Pelodiscus sinensis: one gene and its partners. Each later gene encodes a partner of the first gene's protein in a complex. Links are inferred from orthologs where the notes say so. Each region holds a gene or a part of one and is shown in the gene's direction. Other genes may lie near its edges. The genes, in order: RAB9A, NDE1 and SGSM1.

What was found.
Region 2: the proteins of RAB9A (region 1) and NDE1 are in contact, whole or in part, in a crystal structure (PDB 7E1T), measured with the Homo sapiens proteins. The link is inferred for Pelodiscus sinensis from reciprocal best matches to the Homo sapiens genes RAB9A and NDE1. Residues at the interface, in NP_001182257.1 of Homo sapiens: Ile40, Val42, Phe44, Asn46, Gln59, Trp61, Arg68, Phe69, Ser71, Leu72, Pro75, Phe76; in NP_001137451.1 of Homo sapiens: Asp99, Gln102, Thr103, Ala105, Ile106, Gln109, Leu110, Tyr113.
Region 3: the proteins of RAB9A (region 1) and SGSM1 are in contact, whole or in part, in a crystal structure (PDB 4QXA), measured with the Mus musculus proteins. The link is inferred for Pelodiscus sinensis from reciprocal best matches to the Homo sapiens genes RAB9A and SGSM1. Residues at the interface, in NP_062747.1 of Mus musculus: Phe37, Thr39, Ile40, Gly41, Val42, Glu43, Phe44, Leu45, Trp61, Arg68, Phe69, Leu72, Phe76; in NP_766306.2 of Mus musculus: Leu256, Leu257, Tyr258, Gly259, Lys260, Asn261, Asn262, Tyr277, Asn294, Met297, Asn298, Gln361.

Annotation. Positions count from the first base shown.
Region 1 is NC_134711.1:213,171,948-213,179,473, reverse strand, and holds the start of RAB9A (ras-related protein Rab-9A), read left to right. Parts: upstream 1-4,516; 5' UTR 4,517-4,561; coding exon 4,562-4,638; intron 4,639-4,695; exon of another isoform or gene 4,696-5,814; intron 5,815-7,526. UniProt on the Homo sapiens protein: The small GTPases Rab are key regulators of intracellular membrane trafficking, from the formation of transport vesicles to their fusion with membranes.
Region 2 is NC_134726.1:18,250,717-18,258,354, forward strand, and holds the start of NDE1 (nuclear distribution protein nudE homolog 1), read left to right. Parts: upstream 1-4,629; 5' UTR 4,630-4,649; exon of another isoform or gene 4,650-4,774; intron 4,775-7,638. UniProt on the Homo sapiens protein: Required for centrosome duplication and formation and function of the mitotic spindle. Essential for the development of the cerebral cortex.
Region 3 is NC_134725.1:38,031,265-38,038,763, forward strand, and holds the start of SGSM1 (small G protein signaling modulator 1), read left to right. Parts: upstream 1-4,484; 5' UTR 4,485-4,657; coding exon 4,658-4,676; intron 4,677-4,766; coding exon 4,767-4,810; intron 4,811-7,499. UniProt on the Homo sapiens protein: Interacts with numerous Rab family members, functioning as Rab effector for some, and as GTPase activator for others. Promotes GTP hydrolysis by RAB34 and RAB36.

The DNA of each region.
Region 1 (7,526 bases):
CCGTGCTGGGCTATAATCTCTTGGCCTGTGGCAAGTAGATTACCTAATTGTCGAGCCCTGCTTATTAACAAGAGCCAAACACAGTCCCTTTTAGGCATTCCAGCACTTGTCTCTATGAGAGCCAAATATGGTAAGGGGTTATTGAAAATCTCATTCACCATATCTGAGAATTAGGCATTTATCTTCATGGCAATATGTATCTAAGATCTTATCCAGACGTCACACTGTAAACAAATCCTCAGTAAACCACTTTAAGATTTACTAACAAAAGAAGCCCTAGTCTACCCTATGGTGTTATTGCAAAATACTAAGCAGAGCATCCACACTACCAAACCTGTTATTTCAAAATAACTGGCTGGTTATTTCAAAATCTGTATTCCTGCTTTCTTTGTCGGAGAAGGTTATTTAAAAATAGTTAATTTAGGAGTTATTTCAAATTTAACTATTTCAAAATAATTTCGTAGTGTAGACATGCCTGAAGAGAGTTATAAATGGTTAGTAGATCATATACATATAAATGATTGCAAAATCCTTGTATCATTTGTAGCAATGATGGAATAGATTTCTGGCTGGTAAAGTCTCTCTAGTAACTTATAAATGATTGGAAAGTACTCAGGTTTGGTTATGCTTGTTGTCATTCCTCGTGGATTTCCAGCTGTGTTTGTTAGTGCTATCAACTGGCTAATAATGCTCTCCAGAGTACACAGCTTGTTCATTCAACCACATCTCAGGCATCTTCTTCAGTCTTTGAGGCTTGTGCGCACATCTTGGACATTTGTAAGCTAGGAACCTAATCATCAGTCTTTGCTTCTCACTACACCAACTCTCATCAACCAGAGATAATGCCAGATTTGGATGGGCAGTCCTGCAATCACTGTTCAAGTAGATTGCAAACTCACCTCAAGTTTAAATTGCTTGTTAGTCCCCTATGGTGGAATGGACATGTGCTATCTGGTGAAGAAGAAGAAATTGTTACTAACCTTTTTTTTTGTAACCTTTTTTTTCTTCTTTGAGTTGTCAAATTTCTTCCCTTCTCTGAGTCTATTCAATAGGAAGAAATTAAGAGGAGTTGGAGGCAGCTCCTCCCTTTATATCTGTGAATAGTGGTGCAGTGTTGCATAGCATTCTGAGTGGGTGGTGGAGGGGAAATCTCCAATAACTATGCACAAGGTGTGCACACACCTGTAGTGGAATGAACAGATGCAACACATCTTGAAGAACAAAAGTTACAATAAGGCTACATCTAGACTGGCATGATTTTCCGCAAATGCTTTTAAGGGAAAACTTTTTCCATTAAAAGCATTTGCGGAAAATAGCGTCTAGATTGGCACGGACGCTTTTCCGCAAAAGCACTTTTTGCGGAAAAGCGTCCGTGCCAATCTAGATGCAGTTTTGCGCAAGAAAGCCCCAATAGCCATTTTTGCAATTGGGGCTTTTTTGTGCAAAACAATAACGCGTTGTCTACACTGGCCCTCTTGCGCAAAAGCATTTGCGCAAGAGGGCTTTTGCCCGAATGGGAGCAGCATAGCATTTCCGCAAGAACACTGACAATCTTACATGAGATCATCAGTGTTCTTGCGGAAATTCAAGCAGCCAGTGTAGACAGCTGCCAAGTTTTTCCTGCTTTTGCGGAAAAACTTGCCAGTCTAGACGCAGCCTAAGAGTTTAGTAACTTTCTTTTCTGGGTAAATGAGAGGAAAATAATCTTTCACAGACTTTTTGTGCTTTCTGTCACTGTCCAATTGTACATATAAATTTAGAATTCAAAGGAGAAAGTAGTCATATAGTAGATTTTCAATGGCCTTGCAGTTGTACTCACATTTTTTTTAGTTCAATGTCATTTTGTTCTGCTCATTTTATCTACTATATATCTGAGAGAGTTTGAGTTTCTGTCTGTGTGTCCCTCTGTGAATCTGTTTGTTCAATAACTCCTCCTAAATAGCAAGAGCTAGAACCACCAAATTTGGCATGTAGTTTCCTCTTCTCATAACTTAAAGAAATATCAGGGTTTGGTTTTGTCAGTGTAATCCACACACCTAGGCTCTGTCTACATTGGCATCCCTTTCCGGAAAAGGGATGCTAATGAGACACATCGCAATTGCAAATCCGCGGGGGATTTAAATATCCCCTGCGGCATTTGCATTTACATGGCTGCCGCTTTTTTCCAGCTTGGGGATAAGCCGGAGAAAAGCGCCAGTCTAGACGTGATTCTCCAGAAAATAAGCCCTTTTCTGGAGGATCTCTTATTCCTACTTTCAATAAGAGATCCTCCGGAAAAGGGCTTATTTTCCGGAGAATCACGTCTAGACTGGCGCTTTTCTCCGGCTTATCCCCAAACCGGAAAAAAGCGGCAGCCATGTAAATGCAAATGCCGCGGGGGATATTTAAATCCCCTGGGGATTTGCAATTGCAATGTGTCTCATTGGCATCCCTTTCCGGAAAAGGGATGCTAATGTAGACACAGCCCCAGTGTGGTTCACCGTCCCATGCAGTGACACCTAGACCACAACAACAGATAAGAACAAGAGACCTCTACAACATGGGCTGAAAGCCAACTGGTTTTATAGATCAGGCTGTAGAGGCTTCTATACTAAGCTCCAGGTTCAAATGCACCCTGTGGTTACATCAGGACAATTATATGTGTATAGTATGTGATTGCTTCCGGTCCCCTGCCCTGAAGGACGGAAGCAATGCTGAGTATGTCTTCTACTTTACAGATATAATTAACAAGCTGTTTGTTCTGCCTTTCAATTGACTAGTTAATTTATTATATAAAATTAGCAATTAGTACAGTACATTGTTCCATTTCATATATTCATATCCAGTCCTGTTTTAAGAAATAAGATTTTGTGAGGAACTGTATCAAAACTCCAGTCATCTGAAGAAGTGGGCTGTGCTCACAAAAGCTCATGATACCATCTACATGTTTTGTTAGTCTATAAAGTGCTACCAGACAATTTGTTGTTTTTTAAGTGTATCAAACACTTAACTCAATTCTGAACATGGAAATACTGTCTCTTACGGTTCACTTAACTTTTCCTTTCATGCTGAACCAGGTTTTTTGCTTGACAGAAAATTTAGCTAAAAAAGGAAAGAAAAACATAGATGAAATTGCAGAGAGGCATATCTGAAATGTGTGGTACAGAAAAGGTGTGGTCTTAGTTTCATTATGCACTATTTTATTCTAAGTGCAATTTCTCAATAAGGGGTGAGGCCAGAGCATGTGCAGTATTGTTCATGAGTGATGTAATAGAACCAGTCATAATCTCAGACTAGATAAAACAATGCTATGGCTCTGGTGAGCTATTGTCTACCTGCAACTATTTCATAAACCTACTAAATCAGTGTCCCTTTTTTGTGCCTTTTGTGTTACCCAAGATTTCCCCACTTCCTGGGCCCACTTTTTACTTTCCTTCACTGCTCCTTTAATATCCCAATGTTGCAGCCACCTGTTTCTGGCCAAGAAGAGCAAATGCCTCTGTGTCCATCAATACTGCTCCAGCCACTAGCCTCAGGGGATTTCTCTACATTCACAGGCACAAAAGGTTCAGTCACCTTCCAGAGGCTAAACAAATTGCCTCTCGATTGCTTTCTAAGGCCTTGACTACACTAACTCCTGCTGATCTACTGTGGGATGTGGCCTGTCCTCCTGATGACCCAACGCTGGATGCCCACTCAGCCAGACCTCGAGATTGGAGCAAAGGGGACCTTAGTTCCTTCTGAATTAGCCGCTGAGCACAGGGAATAATTATTTTAATCCCAGTACAAGGCTGTTGTGTCTGGGTGGCTGATGACTCAATGTTTTTCTCTCAACAGGGATACTAGGTGGCAAACTTTTTTTTTTTTAATAGAAAAAGCGCGGAGGCGATGGGCAGAGTGGCAGCCCAACGGCAAAAAGCAGCCTCCAAGTGCCTGCGCGTCCGTCTCACAAGGCACAGAGGACGAAGCAAGTGGCGCGACTAGAGCGAGAGGCCTGATGTCTCCCAGGACCCTTGTGGGCGGGCGGGCTCCCTGCCGGGCGGCTCCTCCGGGCACTGGCCCGGCCTGAGTCGGCCCGGTGGGGGGCGGTGTGAGGGGAGGCGGGGCGGGGGCCCGCACTGAGCGGCTGTCGGGTGAGGGGGCGGCCGCTCCCTTCCCCCCCCCCGCAGCGGCCTCGGGCGGGCGGGGCTTGCGCTCGGCCCAGGTCACATGACCTGGAGGGGGCCTCCCCCGCCGCCATGTTGTTCCTCCCCCTCCCCTCCCCTGTCTAGCTGCTGGCTGCAGCGGCGGGACGGGAGCTGCGCAGCCCTGGCTCCGACACCCGTGGCGGCGTCTCCCCGGCAGGTAACAGCGCGCGGGCACCGGTCGCGGCGGCTCGGCGGGTGCGGGCAGCCCCTCCCCCCCGCCACTGCCCCGCAGCGGGGTCCGCCCTGGCCCGGGGATGCCTGCGCCAGTTGCTGGGAGCCGGGGGGGGGGTGGCAGTTGCGGGGTCCGGGCCCGGGGGGGGGGGTGTCGCTGCGTGGAAACGATCCATTCAAGATGGGGGCCGAGTTGCTGCTGCTCAAACTTGTGGTGCGCGCTCATGGGCTGCGGCGTGATTAGCGATCGCGTGACTGCGGGAGCGATCCCTTGCCCTGCAGGCGCCGTGTCAGCACCGAGGCAAGTCACCCGCCTGTCACGGGCTCGCTCCGCCTCTGCGGGGGAGGGCGGTGTGTATGTTTCCGTGACTAGCAGCCCCTGGCCACGGCATGTTCCCGCGGCCCGGCTGAGAAGGAAGGCAGGCAGGCTTTGGCGCCTCAATAGGGTGATTTCCAAATCTGCTTTCCTCCGAGTAACTCTGATAACAGTTCTAACAAGCAAGGAGGTAACTACAGAGAAGGGAAAACGCATGTAGCTTATATGCGACAGGAGAGAGGGAAGTTCCCACATTAGACTGGGACAAACATTTTTTGGTTAATTAAAAAAAATTCTTTCCAAACGTAAGAGAATGTATTGTCATTTGTCTGACTCTGTGTAGTTAAACCCCATCATAATTTCAGTGCTGTTCAAAGTCCTGTGTCAAAACTGCCAGCATCTTCTTTAGTTTCATAGTCAAATCATGTAATTTTAATACTATTGCTGCTTCAGAAATAGCTGAGCAGGTGTAAAGGCAAGAACTGGAGTGTTCACAGGATTCATATATATCACCCATCATAGTAGCATCTAACAATAGAATAGGTAAACTAGATCTGCATTTAATCATGCAGATCACAGAGAATTGTTGGAGTCACAGAGAATTTAGTCTTCACCCATCCCAGTTCTTATGGAGTTCTATTTGCTTTTAAAAATACACTTCTTTTATAAAGGAAAAAAATATCTAATAGGTCTTGTGATAAGTTTGAAAAGTGGCTAGTGTGTTTGGTTCAGCAAATAACTTTCATTCTGACTGGTACTACGCCCCCTACTCTTTCCTATAGGACTAAGGATGTAAATGGTTAACCAGTAAAGTATTCTGAATGATCTTTACATCCCTACTATCAGCTAGATCACCATTTCTCAAATTTTGTTGCACTGGGACTCAATATAACAAAATTACTACACTTCTTTATACACAGTGTTCTAGAATCAGGGTTAACATTAAGAGGTGGGAAGCAGGACAATTGCCATGACCCCACAAAGCTAATTTTCTCAGGCATCAGCTCCAAATTCCAGCGAGTCTATTGCCGACCTAGGAAATCCCATTAAGATAACTCATGACCCGCTTTAGATTTGAGATCTACAATTTGAAGATGACTGAGCTAGATAGCTGCTTGCTTGCTCCTCCCACTATGACCTGTTGACCAATCCTTATCCTAGGTGAGTAAATGGCTTCTCCACTAACAAGGCAATGGTCGCTTACTATAATGTTTAATGAAACTGTAGAGCAGACTGAACTTCAATGGAAACTGGTATACTGAACCTCCTGTCTCTCTCTAGTAGCAATAAGCAGCATTTATGGGATCACCAGACGTGTCTGTGCACTGGGTTTCCACTGATCATGACAACATTCTACACATCAGTTGGGAAGACCAGGGCTGACAAGACATACCAGGGATATTACCAAATGTGTGTGTGTTGTAAAAGTGTAACTGTTTACACTCGGGAGGAGTTGGAAGTTGTGAGTAGGGGATACAGAGGCAGCAGTGTTGGGGTAGGCGGCTCAACCTGCCTCCCACCTTTGGGGACAGCCAGCACATGCGGAAAGCCAGCTGCATGTATCAGCTCTGCCTGCTTCCCTACCTGTGGGAGGTGGGAGCTGGCATCCGTGGGGAGCTGGCTCCTGCCTCCTTCCCCCCTTTGCAGCCTCTAATACAGAGGCAGCAAGGAGGGGGGAAAGGAAGAATACGTATAACTGTTAAGATTAACTGATAAGGCCAGGCTTATTAGTTAATTGTGCAACCAGGTATCTGCTGACATCTCTAGTGGGTAGGTGGGTCATAATCATCTGAGAGCAGGGAACAAAACAGAAAAAAATCCACAGTAGAGCTGCCTTGAGATACAGATCGGGTAGTCTGTCATGCATGTGACGATAAGCTATCCAGCAGAGGATGTAAACTATAAGTACAGCAAAGTGATAGAGAAACAATGCAGAAGGGCAGCCTCACCACTGAATTGCATCCAAGGGTGCAGCTAGATTAAATTTGAGACAAAGGACCTATACCATTGTCTAAACACTGTCTTGTAATGGTACAGTTAAACCAAGTTATTTAAAAACCTGTGTGGAGGTTATTTGTTACCTTAAAAACCTGTTTCTAATTGATTGAGACTGAAATAAACCTGGCTCAAACTGAAATAAGGTCTTGCGTACACATGGAGGTATTTGGGAATAGTTACTCTGAATAAGGATGTTAAGTATCGAGTAAATGACTAATCATGTAGTTGATACAATTTGTATTGCGTATACGATTAGTTGATAAGAGGCTGCTGTGGCGTAGCAGTGTAAATGTAGTAGGAACCGGATGTGTAGGCAGGCCAACTCCTACTTCATTTAGAGTGTAGAGTTGTAGTGGGAGTAATTCTGGGACCCGGCGCAAGGAGGAACAGCTGGGCTATGTCTACACTGGTGGGTTGGTGTGCCAGAAATATGCAAATGAGGCTAAGCATGGAATATCACCGAGCCTCATTTGAATACCTAATGAGCCGCCATTTTTGCGGAAGAGGCTCTTGTGCCAGAAGGAGCATCTATACTGCCCCTTCTTGCGCAAGAAAAACCCTCTTGCGCAATGCTGCTACACTGATTATTTTCAGGAACTTGCCAATAACCCTTCATACAACGGGATTTTTCAGGACTCTCCTCCATGTCCGTCTTTCTCTCTCCTCCTCCTCCTGCCACCCCCCCCAGCGCTCTCCTCCACCTCCTGCCTGTCTCTCCGTCTCTCTTTCTCTTCTCCCCCTCCTGCCTCTCTCTCCCTTTCTCTTCTCTTCCCCCTCCTGCCTCTCATTCGGGGCACCGCGGAGCCCAAATGGCTGTTTGGGCTCCTCGTGCGGGGGCAAGCAGTGCAGGTGGCTGTTTGGGCTCCATGATCCTC
Region 2 (7,638 bases), on another chromosome or scaffold:
CAAAAAAAGTGAACAAGACCAGACTAACACAGCTTCATCTCTATGACCTACAAGGAGAGGCTGAGGGATTTGGGTCTATTAAGTTGGCAGAAGAGAAGAGTGAAGGGGGATTTGAGTGCAGCCTTCAATTACCTCAAAGGATAGTAAGTAGTAAGATAATTGTTAAGGCCTTAACAAAGATGCTTATTATCTTACCCATTACAAAGATAGCTTCCCCAGTTATCACCTCTAATATCATTATCTCATAGACACTCACCTCCCCTCCCCCCATCCTTCCTCTATTCTAAAATCTGATTTGTCTATTGTACATGTGTTCACTTTTTTGATTGTATCCCTTTGGTATATAGGGTCATGCCAATTTTCTTCCACAATTTGATCTGAGGAAGTAGGTCTGACCCACAAAAGCTCATCACCTAAAAACCATCTTGTTAGTCTTTAAAGTGCTGCATAGTCCTGTCTTTTGTTTCAGATTTTGGTAGTCTTCTTACAAACGAGGCAATTACAATAACCATTATTATTTGTTATTATTTGTATGGAAGAAGTGCTTAGGAGAGGAGACCCAGTCTTTGACTAGGAACCCATTCTTCTGTTTTGGAACTGGATAATCATTTCAACAGCTTAGCTTCTGAAATCTAAATCTTGCTATAAAAAGCTTATTGTGAAACTCATCAAAATTCAACCTATTTAACATGAAATTTAAAATTTTAATGTTTTAATATTCATACAAGTTATTCTTAAAGTCTTAACAATACTGTACAAATGGTAACTAATTAATATTAAAAACCAGCAGAATATTGGACATTGATCCCAATCTTGCAAACATGTATGTATATGCTCAACTTTATTCAATTTAAGCATGTCTGTTTGCAGGATATAGATCATTGTCAAATGGAGTCTGGTCTGTTTTCTTAACTTATCCAAAAAACCAAACATTTTTAGTAAGTTATGGGTAGAATTAAGGAGTACTGTCAATTTGGTTTTTTGAAAAAATTACTAATTTTATAAACTTCCAGAGCTAGTACAACATCTTGTAGCTGTGTGTTCAGATTTCCTTTAAAAAAACAAAACTTATATAGGTATGCCAACCTGCAGTTGAGTATACGGTTAAGCTATAAGCCTTATTGGTTATTCTTATCAACTACATGCATTTCCCTCCCATTGCTGCCGCTGTACCAGAGGTGGCAATGGGGTCGGGGGTGGAGAACGGTAGCCGGTGCAATAGGGAGTTCAGCTTTTAAGATGGCTCTCTTTCAGTGCTGGCTCCATGGAGCCACCTCCTCCACCCATGCTGCTGCCTGTATCGGGGGGGGGGGGGCAGGGGATACTGCCACGGAGCAGCCTCTGTCCGCAGCTGGCCCAGGCTCACCGTGGACAGAGACTGCTTCATGGATGCCAGGACAGCCTCTGTCTGAGGGAGTTCAGATCCCCCATAGAGAGGGGCTTCTGCCACCCCATGCTGCTGCCTCTATAGCAGAATCAGCAGAGCGTGGTGGCAGGCAGGAACCAGTCTGTGCGAGGCGCCGATTTTTAAACTAGCTCCCCTCATGGACCGGTTCCTGCCTGCCACCCTGCAGTGCTGCCTCTGACAGAGAGGCAGCAGCGCAGGGTGGCAGGATGCTCCTCGGGAGTGGGGCCAGGAGCGCACTGGCTGCTGGTCCTACCCCCTGGGGACTATTGAATAGTCATGGAACCGATAATATTTTGTGTGGTTAAATGACTGTTCAGTTATTCGCTGTCTAACATCCCTAAACTTATAATTGTAGGGAGATTTTTTTCCCTCCAAATCTGTAGATGTTTATAATCTTCTAGCTACAGGTGAAATACACAAAATGATCATATACTATAAATCCTGTTAAATTCATAGAGTAATCAAACAAGAAAAACAACACAGGGTCAGAACTTGAACTGGTATAAATGGGGGATGCTCCATTCATGTCAAAATAACAGCTCCCATTTACACCTGCTGAGGATCTGATTCCAAAAGTGCTTTGTTAACTTCTCAGTTGTAGATATTTTAGTTGTTGAATATCAGAGGGGTAGCCGTGTTAGTCTGAATCTGCAAACACGACAAAGAGTCCTGTGGCCCCTTATAGACTAACATTTATTGGAGTGTAAGCTTTTGTGGGCAAAGACCCACTTTGTCGGATGCAATGAAGTTGAGCTGTTGAGTGTCCCTTTAATATCTGAATCTTCTACAAAAACATGAACTGCCACATCAAATGGCCCGATCCCCCAAAGACTCTAAGTATGTAGGCACTCCTGTTGGAGTTATAATAATGCAAGTGTCTAAGTCTTTATAGGATTGGGTTCTAAGGACTCAAGCCCAGATCCTCAAAGATATATAGGTACCTAACTCTCATTTAAATGAATGGAATCAGAGCCTGAACTTGCATTTTTGAAAACAATGGGAATAGGACAAAGTCCTCTGTCTTCTGCTTATGTATGTGGGTGCCCATCATCGGGTTTCTTGTTAAACTGGCAGTTGGATGTGCACAATAACTAATAATAAGATAATACGAGTAGTCGTGCAGCACCATAAAGACTAACAAAAATATAGTATCATGAGCTTTCGTGGGTAAAACCCACTTCATTAGATGAGCTGCAGTGGAAATAACAGAAACCAAGATATATATAACAGCAAAAAAAAAAAAAAGTATCTGTTAATTGTAAGACCAGTGCTAGTTAAGTGGTCTGGAAGTGTCCCATTCTTAGTTTTTGATGTAAAAATGCAGCTGTTAACGGCAGGGGAGATTGGCTTTATAATGCAACATTTCTCTGTAATTGGATGGTGAATTTCTTTGTAAAAGAATGACTATTTTTAAATTCATGATTGTGTAACCAGGCAGGTTAAAATGTTCCCCTACAAGTTTATGTGTGTTACCATTTCTGATATCTGATTTGTATCAATTTTTCTTTGTCATAGAGACTGTTCTGTTTGGCCAATATACATGGCAGAGGGGCATTGCTAACACTTGATGGCATATATCACATTCGAAGTTGTGCAGTTGTATGAGCTCTTGATGATGTGGTTTATGTGGTTAGGTCTTGTGATGGTGTCGCTTGTATAGATATATGGACAGAGTTGGCAACAGGGTTTGTTGCAAGGGTGTTCCTGGGTAAGTGTATTTGAGGTGTGATGTGTGGTGGCTGGACAGGATTTGCTTCAGGTTGGGGGAGGGGTGTTTGTCTTCCTAGGTCTTTGAGAGTGGGGGATCATTTTCGAGGATAAATTGTAGATTGTCAATGGTGCACTGGAGAGATTTAAGCTGGGGGCTTAGGTGATAACCAGTGGTGTTCTATTATTTTATTTGTTGGACCTGTCTTGAAGTAGTTGATTTCTGGGTACTTGTCTGGTTCTGTCAGTCTGTTTCCTCACTTCCTATTTTATGTGTTATCATTTCTGTCTGATTTATAATAATCTTTATATCTTAATAATAAGATACTCAGTGACGTATGTGGGTTCTATCACTCACTAAAGTAGTAATTTGTGGTTCTGAATCCTTCAGGAAGCAAATACCAGACACACCTACTGAGCAGGTATTTGTATGCATTATAGTATAGACACACACCTATGGTTCTTTAGCAATACTGAGTATGTCTTATCCGTATTAATTACTAAGCCAAAGGAACTGGATTCAAATTTCACTAACATCAAGTCATAGAGTCTTCATTAGACTTTTGGATCAGGCTTACTGCTGTGGTGAACATTCTTGTACTCAGCATCCTGGAGATACAAAACACCATTATGGGGTGCTCACATCACTCATAGGTTCTGTTTAGTCCTACTGTGGTTTCTTGTGTACTTTGTGGAGACATGTAATCAAAAATGAGATGTAAGTAAATGCTGCATTCTAATGTCTCATAGTGAACCTAATCTTAGTACTGTTCACTTCAGTGAGAGAAGTATGGCACAAAGAGTATCTTTAATGTATACATTGTGTACTTTTATGGCATTTAAAATAGTGAAGGCTACATACTGAGGTAAGCTTTCGTTAAAACTCACAAGTCCGACCAAACATGATTTTTAAATAACCAAAGCGTGAGGAAAACTTTATTTCTTAAAATTATGGGAGTGTGGGAAAATACAGTTTCTAAAATTATGAGCGGAGGCTATTTAGACTCTACTCGCACTACAGAGCTTGCAAACACTAATGCGAGTGCTTAATTTTGGTCAGTTAAAAATTAATCACGGATATATGGCAATTTGCAGCATTAGCACCCATGTCTTCTTATGTCTTCGGTGAAGCAAGCCCCAAGCACGCGTATGGATGGTCTAAAATAAATATTGCACCAATAACAAGAGGAGGAAAGCTGGAGTCTCCCAGGCGATACATTGCTTGCGCAAGACATCGAGCTCCTTAAACGGGGGGAGGTGCGCATGAGATCCTTGGGGCTGTGCTGCGTCATGCCCTGAGCTCTCAGCCTTATCTCATCTCACTAGCCTGCCGCTGCCCCCCGGCCCGACTGCAAGTACAACTGAAAAGTTAAAAAAAAAAAACCCTTCGAAAGACAAAAGTTTCCAAACGTTCCAGGAGCAATATTTTACCAGAGCTGATTGGAGGAGCTCTTCAGGCCACGTGACCCTACAGCCAATAGGGTGTTGGCCCGAGCTTGGTTGTAATGGTTCGGATGGAGCACCGAGGGGCAGGGTAAGAGGCTGGGACTCGAGTCGCGCTAGCCCGAGCCAGTGGCTCTAGGAGTGGGACAGAGGGTTCCTGTGCCCCGCGTGGGAAGTGGCAGAGGCTGGAGCTGGAATCTTTCTCCTGTGGAAGTGGTGAGCGCTCAGGGCTTTGCTGTGTCTCTTGGAAGTTTGGGGGAGAGCAAACTCCTAGGATCCGCCTATTCCCTCTCCCCTTGTGTCTGCCCTGCTGTGTGGGGTCGGAGCAGGGAGGGTTTCCACGTGGCCTTGTGGGGGGGACGGGAGTTGGAGAAAAGCAACAAGAGCCCCTTCTGCCCACATCCTGCATCGCTCTCCTCTGAGGCTGTGGAGGGCATGGGGCTCGGAACAAAATAAGGCTCCCTGCTTTCTCTATGGCTCCCAGCCCTAATTTTCAGCCTCAGCCGTTTCTGGAACCGGACTTTTATGTTTTGTCGAAATGTGTAAATGTCCGCAGTAGTTTATTTTCCTTTCTGGGTTTGGACTAGCAAATACAATCAGAATCCCTTCTGCTTGGGAGAACAGGCTCGTGGGTTGAGGCCAGGAAGCCCTAAGGAACAAGCTGATGTTTCAAGAGAGAATTGTCTTGATCTGCCGAGTTCCCATAGGACTTAAAAGAATTGGATTTGGATGAGTACCAGGATTCTTGATTAGGGGCTTTTTTTCTACTGAAACCCATTTTGCACAGAGACTCCTGTGCTTTGATAACCTTTTTGGACTGGACTGTTAAATAAACTACTAATTACTGTTTGGGGGTAACCCCTTTCTTTTTATCCCTTTTTGTGGCATTTAAACAAAAAGAAATAGTCCCTGTTGTGACATGAAGTTCAGCTTAGGAAGCAGCTTGAAGATAATGTATAGTTTTGGTAAGTTGGTAGAGGGTGTGAAAACCTCTTTTCTACCAGACCTGAGAGCCTATATTCTAGTGGTTAGAGGAAGATGCCCCATATGAACCTAGTTCTATCTCCTCTTACCCTGTTAATGGAACACAAATTACTTGTCCAAATTAGGGATGTTAAATATCAGTTAATTGAATAGTTGAGTAACCTCAAGAATTCTTATCGGTTAGTCGACTATTCTGTAGTCCCTGGGAGCGGGGCCAGCAGCTAGTGTGCTCCATCCTCATGCCTGAGGAGCCCTCTACCACTCCATGTTGCTGCCTCTGTATCAGAGGCAGCAGTGCAGGGTGCCAGGCAGGAGCTGGTTCATGAGAAGAGCCAGTTTAAAAAACAGCTCCCCTCGCATACCAGCTGCCTGTCCCCCTGTGCTGCTACCTCTGATAAAGAAAAAGTAGCGTGGGGTGGCAGCAGCCCCCATCTGGGGGGATCAGAGTTCCCGGACCCATTGTGAGCTGGAACTGAGCGGGGCTGCCTGCCCACCTGGCTCCTAATACACTTTAAATGCAGAGCCACAGCAGAGGTAAGTCCCGGACCCATTTCAAGCCAGGACTGAGCCAGACTGCTAAAAATTTTACTGGCGGGGCAGGAGGTGGGAAATGCATGTAGTCTATAGCTTTTGCTTATTGGTTAATTGACTACACTATTACATCCCTAGTTCAAATAGAATGTATAGACTCTATGGAAGTGTGGGTTGTGACAGTTCTACCTTGTTCTTACCTTTTGAAAGGGTCTTATTCCTGTTCTCACTAATTTTTTTTGGAGGGGGGGAAGGAGGGCATGAATCTGCTCTGAATGTTGTTGACATTGTTAACCAAATCAAATAGATCCTTAAAATATTTCCTCAGAGCTGTTTTGGCCTGGCTTTTGCAATTTCATATTAGAATATGCCATATAAAATTCTCCTGAGTTTGCTTAGCTCTGATTCTAATTACAGTATTTGAATCCCTATACTAAAATTACTTTGAAGATGGCTAACAGCGATGCCACGGTGATTACAAACTAGTGTTTGGCAGTACTGTCATCACATTGGTGAAATCACTTCCTGGAGTGACACATGTAACCATTATTTTCCTCACTGTAAAAGTTCATCCCATGTCCCCAGAAAACTCCTGTATGAGACAGAAATTTTGTAATGTCTGTGACCAGCTCAGCTGCTTACAGGCAGGAAGTATGGCCAGATCTTTCCTTCTGGTTTCTACATTTACAAAAACAAATGAGGTGCAGCCAAACTGTGTGCATTAGATAAAGTTAGAACCTTGCGTTTTGATGGCAGTAATAAAGTGTGAGCAAAATGCTGGTAGAACCCTCTTCTCAAAAAAACTACAGAATTGTGTAATGTATAATTTGGTGTGATTTAGCTGTGTAATAGTAGCCATCTCCCTTGGGGAACCTCACGCAATTAGCCCTGCCTGCCACTCTTGGTATGAGATGTGAGGTTTAATTAGTAGAACTAGCTGGGTATGGAAGAACTGCTAATACCAGGAAGCTGTCAGTGAAAGAGAAGAGATGTTCAGGGACAAAGACAGCTGGAGCGAGTAAGTTATAGCAGAGAACCCTGACTGAAGGAAGGCCTGGGAGATCCTCAGTGGAGGGGAGAGTGACTGAATCAGAGAAAGCTTTGTTTGGAAGTTTGATTTAAGAAGAGGGCAGCAGTGACAGTGCATCTATCTGCATAGGCCCCTGCCATTGAGGGCGTAGTTGAGAGGCCGCAGCCTGTTCACATGTGGCAAACATAAACTGTTACTAAATTTAAAAACAACTAATAGTCTTGCAGCTATTAAAGACGAACAAAACATGTAGATGGTATCATGAGCTTTCATGGGCATAACCCACTTCTTCAGATGAATGGATTTATTAAAGGTCCAGTTTCTAAATAAATAGAGGATGGGAGGAAGAGAGGAGGAAAAAAAGGGAAAGAAATAGAGTGTCAGTGCTACATGAAGCTGATAGAGAAGGCACAAATTGTTCTTAAGTACCCATTGTTTAGTATTGTGTGTCATTAGGATGTGGACTGTAGTGGGCCATCCAGCCAATGTCTTTATTCATACCTTTTTGATAGGAATCTAACCTGTAAACTTCTAA
Region 3 (7,499 bases), on another chromosome or scaffold:
CTCATGCTTTTATAGACCTCTATCATATCCCCCCTCAGTCTCCTCTTTTCTAAGCTGAGAAGTCCCAGTCTCTTTAGCCTCTCTTCATATGGTATCTGTTCCAAACCCCTGATCATTTTCATTGCCCTCCCCTCTCTCACCCTCTCTCTTCCCCTCTCCCACCTTTTTTTCCCAGTCTCCCCGAGTTTTGTTCAATAAAGAGAGTTTCTATTTTTGAACACACGTGTCCTTTATTTGGTACATCAGGAAGGGGAGCTAGGGAGGGGTAAGTGGAAGGAGGTGAGGGAGGAATGGGGTATGAGCCCCCGATGGGGAGGACTGGGCTGGCTCTGCGGGCTCCTCGGGGTGGAAACTCTCCTGAAGCCCCTTGATTGACCCCCCCTCCGGATGGCAGCCTGCGGCAAATGCAGCCGGGCTGATGGCCGAGTGCTGTGATGTGCTGAGTGTGGGCACTCAGGGCACTCCAAGCCAGGACTGCTTTGCAAGCGGAGAACCCCTGAGAACTGTCTGTCCGGGGTGGGGATCGGGTCCCTTTAAGCACAGCCCTCGGCTAGCCTGAGGCAGCATCTCCACGCTCTAAGTCCTAATCTGATGCCCTGCCGGCACTGCTTCCGGCCAGCCTTAACCTCGGTTCAGGGTCCACTCAATGTGGACATGCTAGTTCGAATTAGCAAAATGCTAATTCGAACTAGTTTTTAAGTCTAGATGCGCTAATTTGAATTAGCTTAGTTTGAATTAACTAATTCGAACTAAGTTAGTTCGAATTAGTGCTGTAGTGTAGACGTACCCTAACAGATTTATTAGGGCAGTGGTTCCCAGCCTGTGGTCTGTGGACTCCTGGTGGTCTGCAACAGTATTATAGGGGGTCCACAGAAAGTTTAAAAGTAAGGATCGGGCTCCCCTCAGGGCTGGAACTTTTCTCTACGTGATTCTCACCTGGAGCTTGCTGTTCACGACCATCTGTCCTCCTGCCACCAGCTGCACTGCCGTTTACGCTCCAGCCCTCTTCCCCCTCCCAGTCCCGCAGTGGGCCTGATCTTTTCTTTTTCTTTTTTTCTCCCCCAGGACTTCATGCCCTGCCAAGGGCAGAGTGCTGAGGCAGGAGATGCCTTTGGCCACGAGAGCCTCCTCGCCTGTATTCTCTGTGGATGGGCAGGAGACAGAGAGGGTGGGAGCTGAGGAAGCAGTGCAGGCCAGGGGACATGTTGGCCGCCGCATTATCAAGGAATGGAATGTTTGAAAACAGCTATATTGTTTGAGGGTTCCATAAAATGTTAATAGATTAAAAAGGAGTCTGTATGCTCAAAAAGGTTGGGAACCACTGCATTAGGGCACAAGGTAAGCTAACGCCTCCTTATTATAGGCAAAGTGAAAGCAAGGCCTATCAATGCAAACATTCATCTGACATGCCTCTGGCTGGAAATAATCGTAGGCTCTCATTATTTGGGGAGAAGCTCTTCTTCATTCTCTCTAGCCAAATTCTGCCTAAGTATAGCCAGGCAGATGGCTCTTCACCAGACAGGCATATTTTATGAATCAAAAGACCCCTCATTTTACACAGGGTTAGTTAGAACACAGATGAATTGCAGATGGCTACCATGGAAGAGGCTTAGCATTAAGCTGGTGTCCAAAGGGTCTGGCAGGGTTTCTCCAAGCTGCTGAATGCTGAAATCACAGCTATCATGGGGAATTATTGATGAAGTTGCGTAAATATCCCAGAGAAACTCCAGTAGGTGGATTGCTATTGGCATTAGCAAAAGGAAGCTCTGCTCAGGACCTGGGAGAATATGTGGTTACCTGGATGGTGTTGCCAGCTTCTGGCAACTTGCTTGGCCCTGGCTGGATTCCCAGCTGTGGCATGGACAGAATTTGGTACACTAAATGAAGGTCACAAGCAGAATGAGAGGAATAGGGAATACTTCTCTGCACTTGTATAGGATCCAGCCATCATTTGAGGATCTCTCTTTGCTTTGCAAACATGAATTAATTCAATATTCACTGAACCCTTCTGGTGCTGGCATTCTAACCTCATTTTTCAATTAAAGAAACTGAGGCCCAGTTCAGCTTTGCTTCACCAAGCTGCCAGCAGCAAGACGGTCACAACTTATTTGCATATGTTGAAGTTGATTGCAGCTGCCTTCATCTTTAACATGGTTTGTCGTTATTAGGAACTGAACTGCAAAGGAACAAAGAGCCCGTTTCTATGGAAATGTCCTTAGAAACAACAAATGAGGGAAGAGAAACACAGGAGATATGTTAATGAGACAGAGGCAGAGATGTTTCTATGTAATTTACAATATTTCCGTGTGACATCTATGTAGTTTAGTGGGCTAGCCCTCTCCAAATCATCACCACTTCCTTGATCTTTACTCTCTTGATACTGGAAAGGCAATGGGCTAGCTCCTGCAGATGGGCATAACTCCACTGAAGTCAATGGGGTTATTCCACTTTATGTCTGATAAGGATTTGGCTCACACATAACTTCCAAGACTTTTGGATCGAGAAAGACCATAGTAAACCAGGGGATTATCTCTGTAGGTTGGAACCAAGGTTCAGGTTTATCTTTTCCATCCATGCAGGGAATACATTTTTCTATGTGCACCGAGGCATGGGCAGACATGCACCACCAGTAGAAACAAAAACTTAGCTGTGGGTGCTCTGCTAATCACCTGGGCAGCATTTGAATCTTTCCCAAGCAGCCATTCAAGTGCACAGCTCACAGGGAATATTGGTTGCAGGCTTTCTGCATTAAAGCTGCAGGCTGTCACCAGGGGCACCATAATTCAGCGATGTCATGCTAAACACAGCAAGCTTGACCCTAATTTCACTTATCTCTGGCCCTACCTCCACAGGGCATGTCTACACAGCAGGGCAAAAGTCAAATTAAGTTACGTTACTTCAGGTACGTCAATTGTGTAGCTGAAGTCTAAATAGCTTAGTTTGGCTTTTGGCACTGTCTACACAGCAGGAAGGTGAAGGAACAACACTCTTCCTCTGACTTTCCTTATTCCTTGTGAAATGGGGGTGACCATGAGTCAAAGTAGGAAGTCCTCCAGTTTGACATTATTTTAAATAATGGCTTGCTGTGCAGACGCACACTATATTATTTTGAAATAAAAACAGTTATTCCGATATAATGCTGCTGTATAGACATAGCCTCAGTTACCGGCATAAGTGAGCAAAAGGGCCAGGCCTCCAGTGTACTTGTGAGTGCATATATAAAGTCATGGGGACACTGTGACAAAGGTGTCAATGCATACAACACAAACAGTCAAATTGTGATGCACAGTGAGTGGTTCATGAGAGGTTTGTAGGCTGGACCAATGATGATGATATACACCCACTGGATCATTCTGGATAGCTGGGGTCAGCCCCAGGGTAGCTGGGTCCACATTTGTGCTAATTTTGCCCCTCTTACTAAAAAGCAAAGGCCAGCTGGTTCGGAGGCTAGCCTAGGAAACCTCCATATGGGGTACGTCTACACATCATAGTTATTTTGGAATAACAAAGTGTGCATCTACACACAAGCAGTTATTTCACCAAAATGTTGAAATAATGTCCAGCCGGAGGACTGCTTACTCCGACTCCTGTAACTCTCATTGCACGAGGAGTGAGGGAGGTCAGAGGAAGAGTGCTTTATTTCAAAATAAGTGCTGTGCAGATGTGCCCAAATTTGAAATAAACTATTTCAACTTAAGCTATGCAATAAGTGCAGCTCAAGATGTATAGCTTATTTTGAGTTTAGCCCTGCTGTGTAGACATACCCCATCTGATTCCCTGCCACAGACTCCCTTTGTGCAGAGTCACTTAGGCCCAGTTCTGTAAAGGTATTGAGTGCCTAATTCCCCTTGACATCAGTTGAAGTGCCTATCTGCCTTCAGAGACTGGGGCCTTAGCTTCTGGGCCTCACTTCTGTGCATAGCCTAGGGGATAATAGTATGGATCTGGCCCTGGTATTATTAAGCACAGGGAGGGCTAATAGGGTTACCAGCTGGCTGGTGTTTGACTGGCCTGGTTTGTTTATGGATTTGCCAGTTGCCAGAAAAAAATATTGTAATCTGCCCGGTATTTTTACATGGGTAGAAAGATTTGCAGTATTCTCCCAGTACAGTGCGGTAGCGAAGGAGGAAAGTTTTGTGGCCAGCTAAGGATGCTGCAGTGTCCCCAGCCCTCATTTGATGCTCTGGGTCTCATGTTTACACATTATGGCCCTGGGGGGGGGGGGGGGGGGGGGGTTGCAGAGCTGCCTACTGGTTGGGAGGCTTCCTTGGGGAGGTTACTGGGGTGACCCCTGGGCGCCAGGTGGAAGCAGACTCAGAGCTCTGGGCTGCTCTGAGGGGGAGGGGGTGTCCCTGGTTTGGTGTCCCCCCCCCCCCCCCCCCGCAGAGCCCGGCGCCTGGGCTCTGCAGCGCATGGGCAGTGCGCGCTGGGAGGGTGGGACCACGCAATGGGTGTTTTAGGGGCTGGGAGGGGGCAGACAGACGCGGCTGCAGGACGCGCCCCGCAGGCTGCGGAGAGCCCAGCCCGACTCCGCACCTCCCCGCCCGCCGGTCCCAGGCAGTGGGCGGCGTCGCTGGCCCAGCCCAGCCCGGCTGCTGCCCGGCTCCCTCCCGCGGGCTGCTGCAGAGGCGCAGACGCCCGGCGGAGGAGCAGCACGATGGCCGCGGCTCCGGCGGGTAGGACGGGGCGCCCTGTCGGGGGGATCCGGGCGGCGTGGCCGGGCGGCGCCGGGGCCACTAACGCGCCTCTCCCCCTTCTCCCCACAGAGGCGGAGACCCGGCAGAGGCTGCTGCGCACCGTCAAGAAGGAGGTGGGTGCGGGGGGGCGCCAGATATGCCGGGGGAGGGGAGTGGAGGATGCGCCAGAGGTCTGTGCACATCTGGATCAGCCAGTGCCTGGGTTTGGGGGAGGCACCGTATGTTTTTTTGGAGGCATTACATGTAGCTGCACATCTGGATTAGCCAGTGCCTGGATTTGAGGGAGGCACCGTTTGTTTTTTGGGGGGTATCACATGTAGCTGCACATCTGGATTAGCCAGTGCCTGTATTTGAGGGAGGCACCGTTTGTTTTTTGGGGGGTATCACATGTAGCTGCACATCTGGATTAGCCAGTGCCTGTATTTGAGGGAGGCACCGTTTGTTTTTTGGGGGGTATCACATGTAGCTGCACATCTGGATTAGCCAGTGCCTGGATTTGAGGGAGGCACCGTTTGTTTTTTGGGGGGTATCACATGTAGCTGCACATCTGGATTAGCCAGTGCCTGTATTTGAGGGAGGCACCGTTTGTTTTTTGGGGGGTATCACATGTAGCTGCACATCTGGATTAGCCAGTGCCTGGATTTGGGGGAGGCACCTGACGGTTTTTGAGGAGTACCACAGTCAGCTGCATAGCTGAATTAATTGGTGCCTAAGGTTTGAGGGGTAAGCTCCTGACGGTTTTGGGGTTACCACAGGTGGCTGCATATCAGGAGCCTGAGGTATGGGTGAAGACTAAAGAATGCTCCAGATGTTGTTCCGGAGCATGAAGGGGTCAGTGCACCTGGTTGCCTATGGAATGGCTCTTATTGGTTGGAGGGATAGGGCTATATCTCTTCCCCTCCCATCATGTTCATTTTGTTTGTGATTGCTGCAAGGTTGTGAGTCCTGATGGCTCTGTTCTGAACAGCCCCGTCTCCTATTTGGCCCTCTCAGCCAATGGGGATCTAGTGATTTGCGGTGTTGCAGGGCTGGGGTTCATCTGAGATGCAGAGTTGTTTTGATAAGCAAATCTTTCCTTTCCCCCTATCTCCAGATTGAAGTGCTGGGATCTCTGCTTGTATCTGTTGCAACCATTGCCAATAACTGTCCCTTGCTCCCAGCAGGCTAGGTCACCAGGGCCCTGAGCCAGCAAAGGTTGTGTAATCACTAGCAGCAGTTAGGAGTGATTTAGTTGGACAGTCAAAAATTCTCATCCGTTTGCACCTTCTAAAGGAGAGATTGGCTTGAATCCTGGGTGACTGCATGAGCAAGGTCCCCATCACCTCTCTGGGAGGTGAATTGCTGGCCACGTCCCTTCCCTGCATGGAAAGAATTCAGCAGAGTGAGGGGGAGAGCCGGTTTGCTTGCTTCCTGAGGGGCTTCAGCAGGGGAAGTCAGCATCAAGCTCACAGCCACTGGGTTGCTTATTGGCATGGCTGTCCCTGCTGGTACATGCACAGGTCTCGGGTTTTCTAACATGACTCTGTGAGTAAGTAGTTCGGAACGTGAACACCTCATTTTGGGTGCTGAAAAGAGGCACATGAAGCCTGACTGTTTATGTCATTTTGAAAAGTGACTGCTTGGTCACTGGCTCCTGTTCCCGAGGGGGTTTTATTGGCTGCATTGACACAAAAGAGCTTAGTATTGGCAGGGATAGACTTTCCCTGAAGGACTCTCGGGCTTGATTTTTATAGCTGTCTACAGGTAATGGAGGAGCAGCAGGGCCCAGTGATTAGTGGAAGCCTGGGCTCTTGGGTCCTCATTCTAGCAGGTCCTCTGATCTGCCATGTGACCTTGGCAGAGTCACCTCAGCTCTCTCTGTGTCTCAGGGATGCTATGAGGTTTGTTAACTGCTATTAGATCTTCAGAGTCAGGGGCCTGTACAGATATGAAGGGTTGTTTCCATTTATAAATCCTTTAGGGTATTGGCATTGCTTGTACCATGTTAGTATCTAGGAGCCCAGTTGTGAATCAGAACCCCACTGTATTAGCCATGGTACAGACAGAATAAAGAGACAGCCCCTATCCCAAAGAGCTCCCAGTCTCAGTGCTGTAACCATTAAAGGCTATGCTTTGATAACACACAGCTACATTCTCCTTGGGTTGATTGGGGAGAGAGCTGTGTTAGCAGCCGTCCTGGAGGTGTACTGCCTGGAGGTGCTTTGCTAGATTGCCCCTTGTCTCGTTTTGCCTCTCCCAAGTGAGAGCATCCCAAGGAAAGCATACACTTTGTCTATAGTGGAATTGCAGACATGAGTCGTTTGTGTGAGCAGAGCCTGGGAACTTAGCACCCAGGTTCAGCTGTCTTGATCCTTTATTTTTCCCTCTTTTCAGGGTTTTAGTCAGCTCCTTTGAGAAAACTCATGGGAGGGATGTGAAAGGTTAACTGGTAAGCATCACCCTTAATGGAACCCCTCCAGTCTTCCCTTTAATTGGTTAACTGGTTAAACATCACGTTTTTACATCCCTAATTCAAAGGCCCAATATTTACTCTGCTTAAAAAAGAAGGCAAAGCAGCATCTTTTGGGGTGATAGGATTCTGGGCTTAACCCAAGTCCCAGGTCACCTTCACCCCTTGCCTCCTCGCCAGAAACGGTGCTTTAGTGATCATTTTAACAGTTGTTTTGGCTCCATCTAATCAGGGAAGTGCAGCCCGCGGGAGCCCCCTCGTTCTTTGGAACCCGCAAGTGGAATGTATATTGCACAGATTGTGCGTGGACCCTTTCTCTTCTATTTTGACAGTGTGGGACTTGCAAAGAGGAG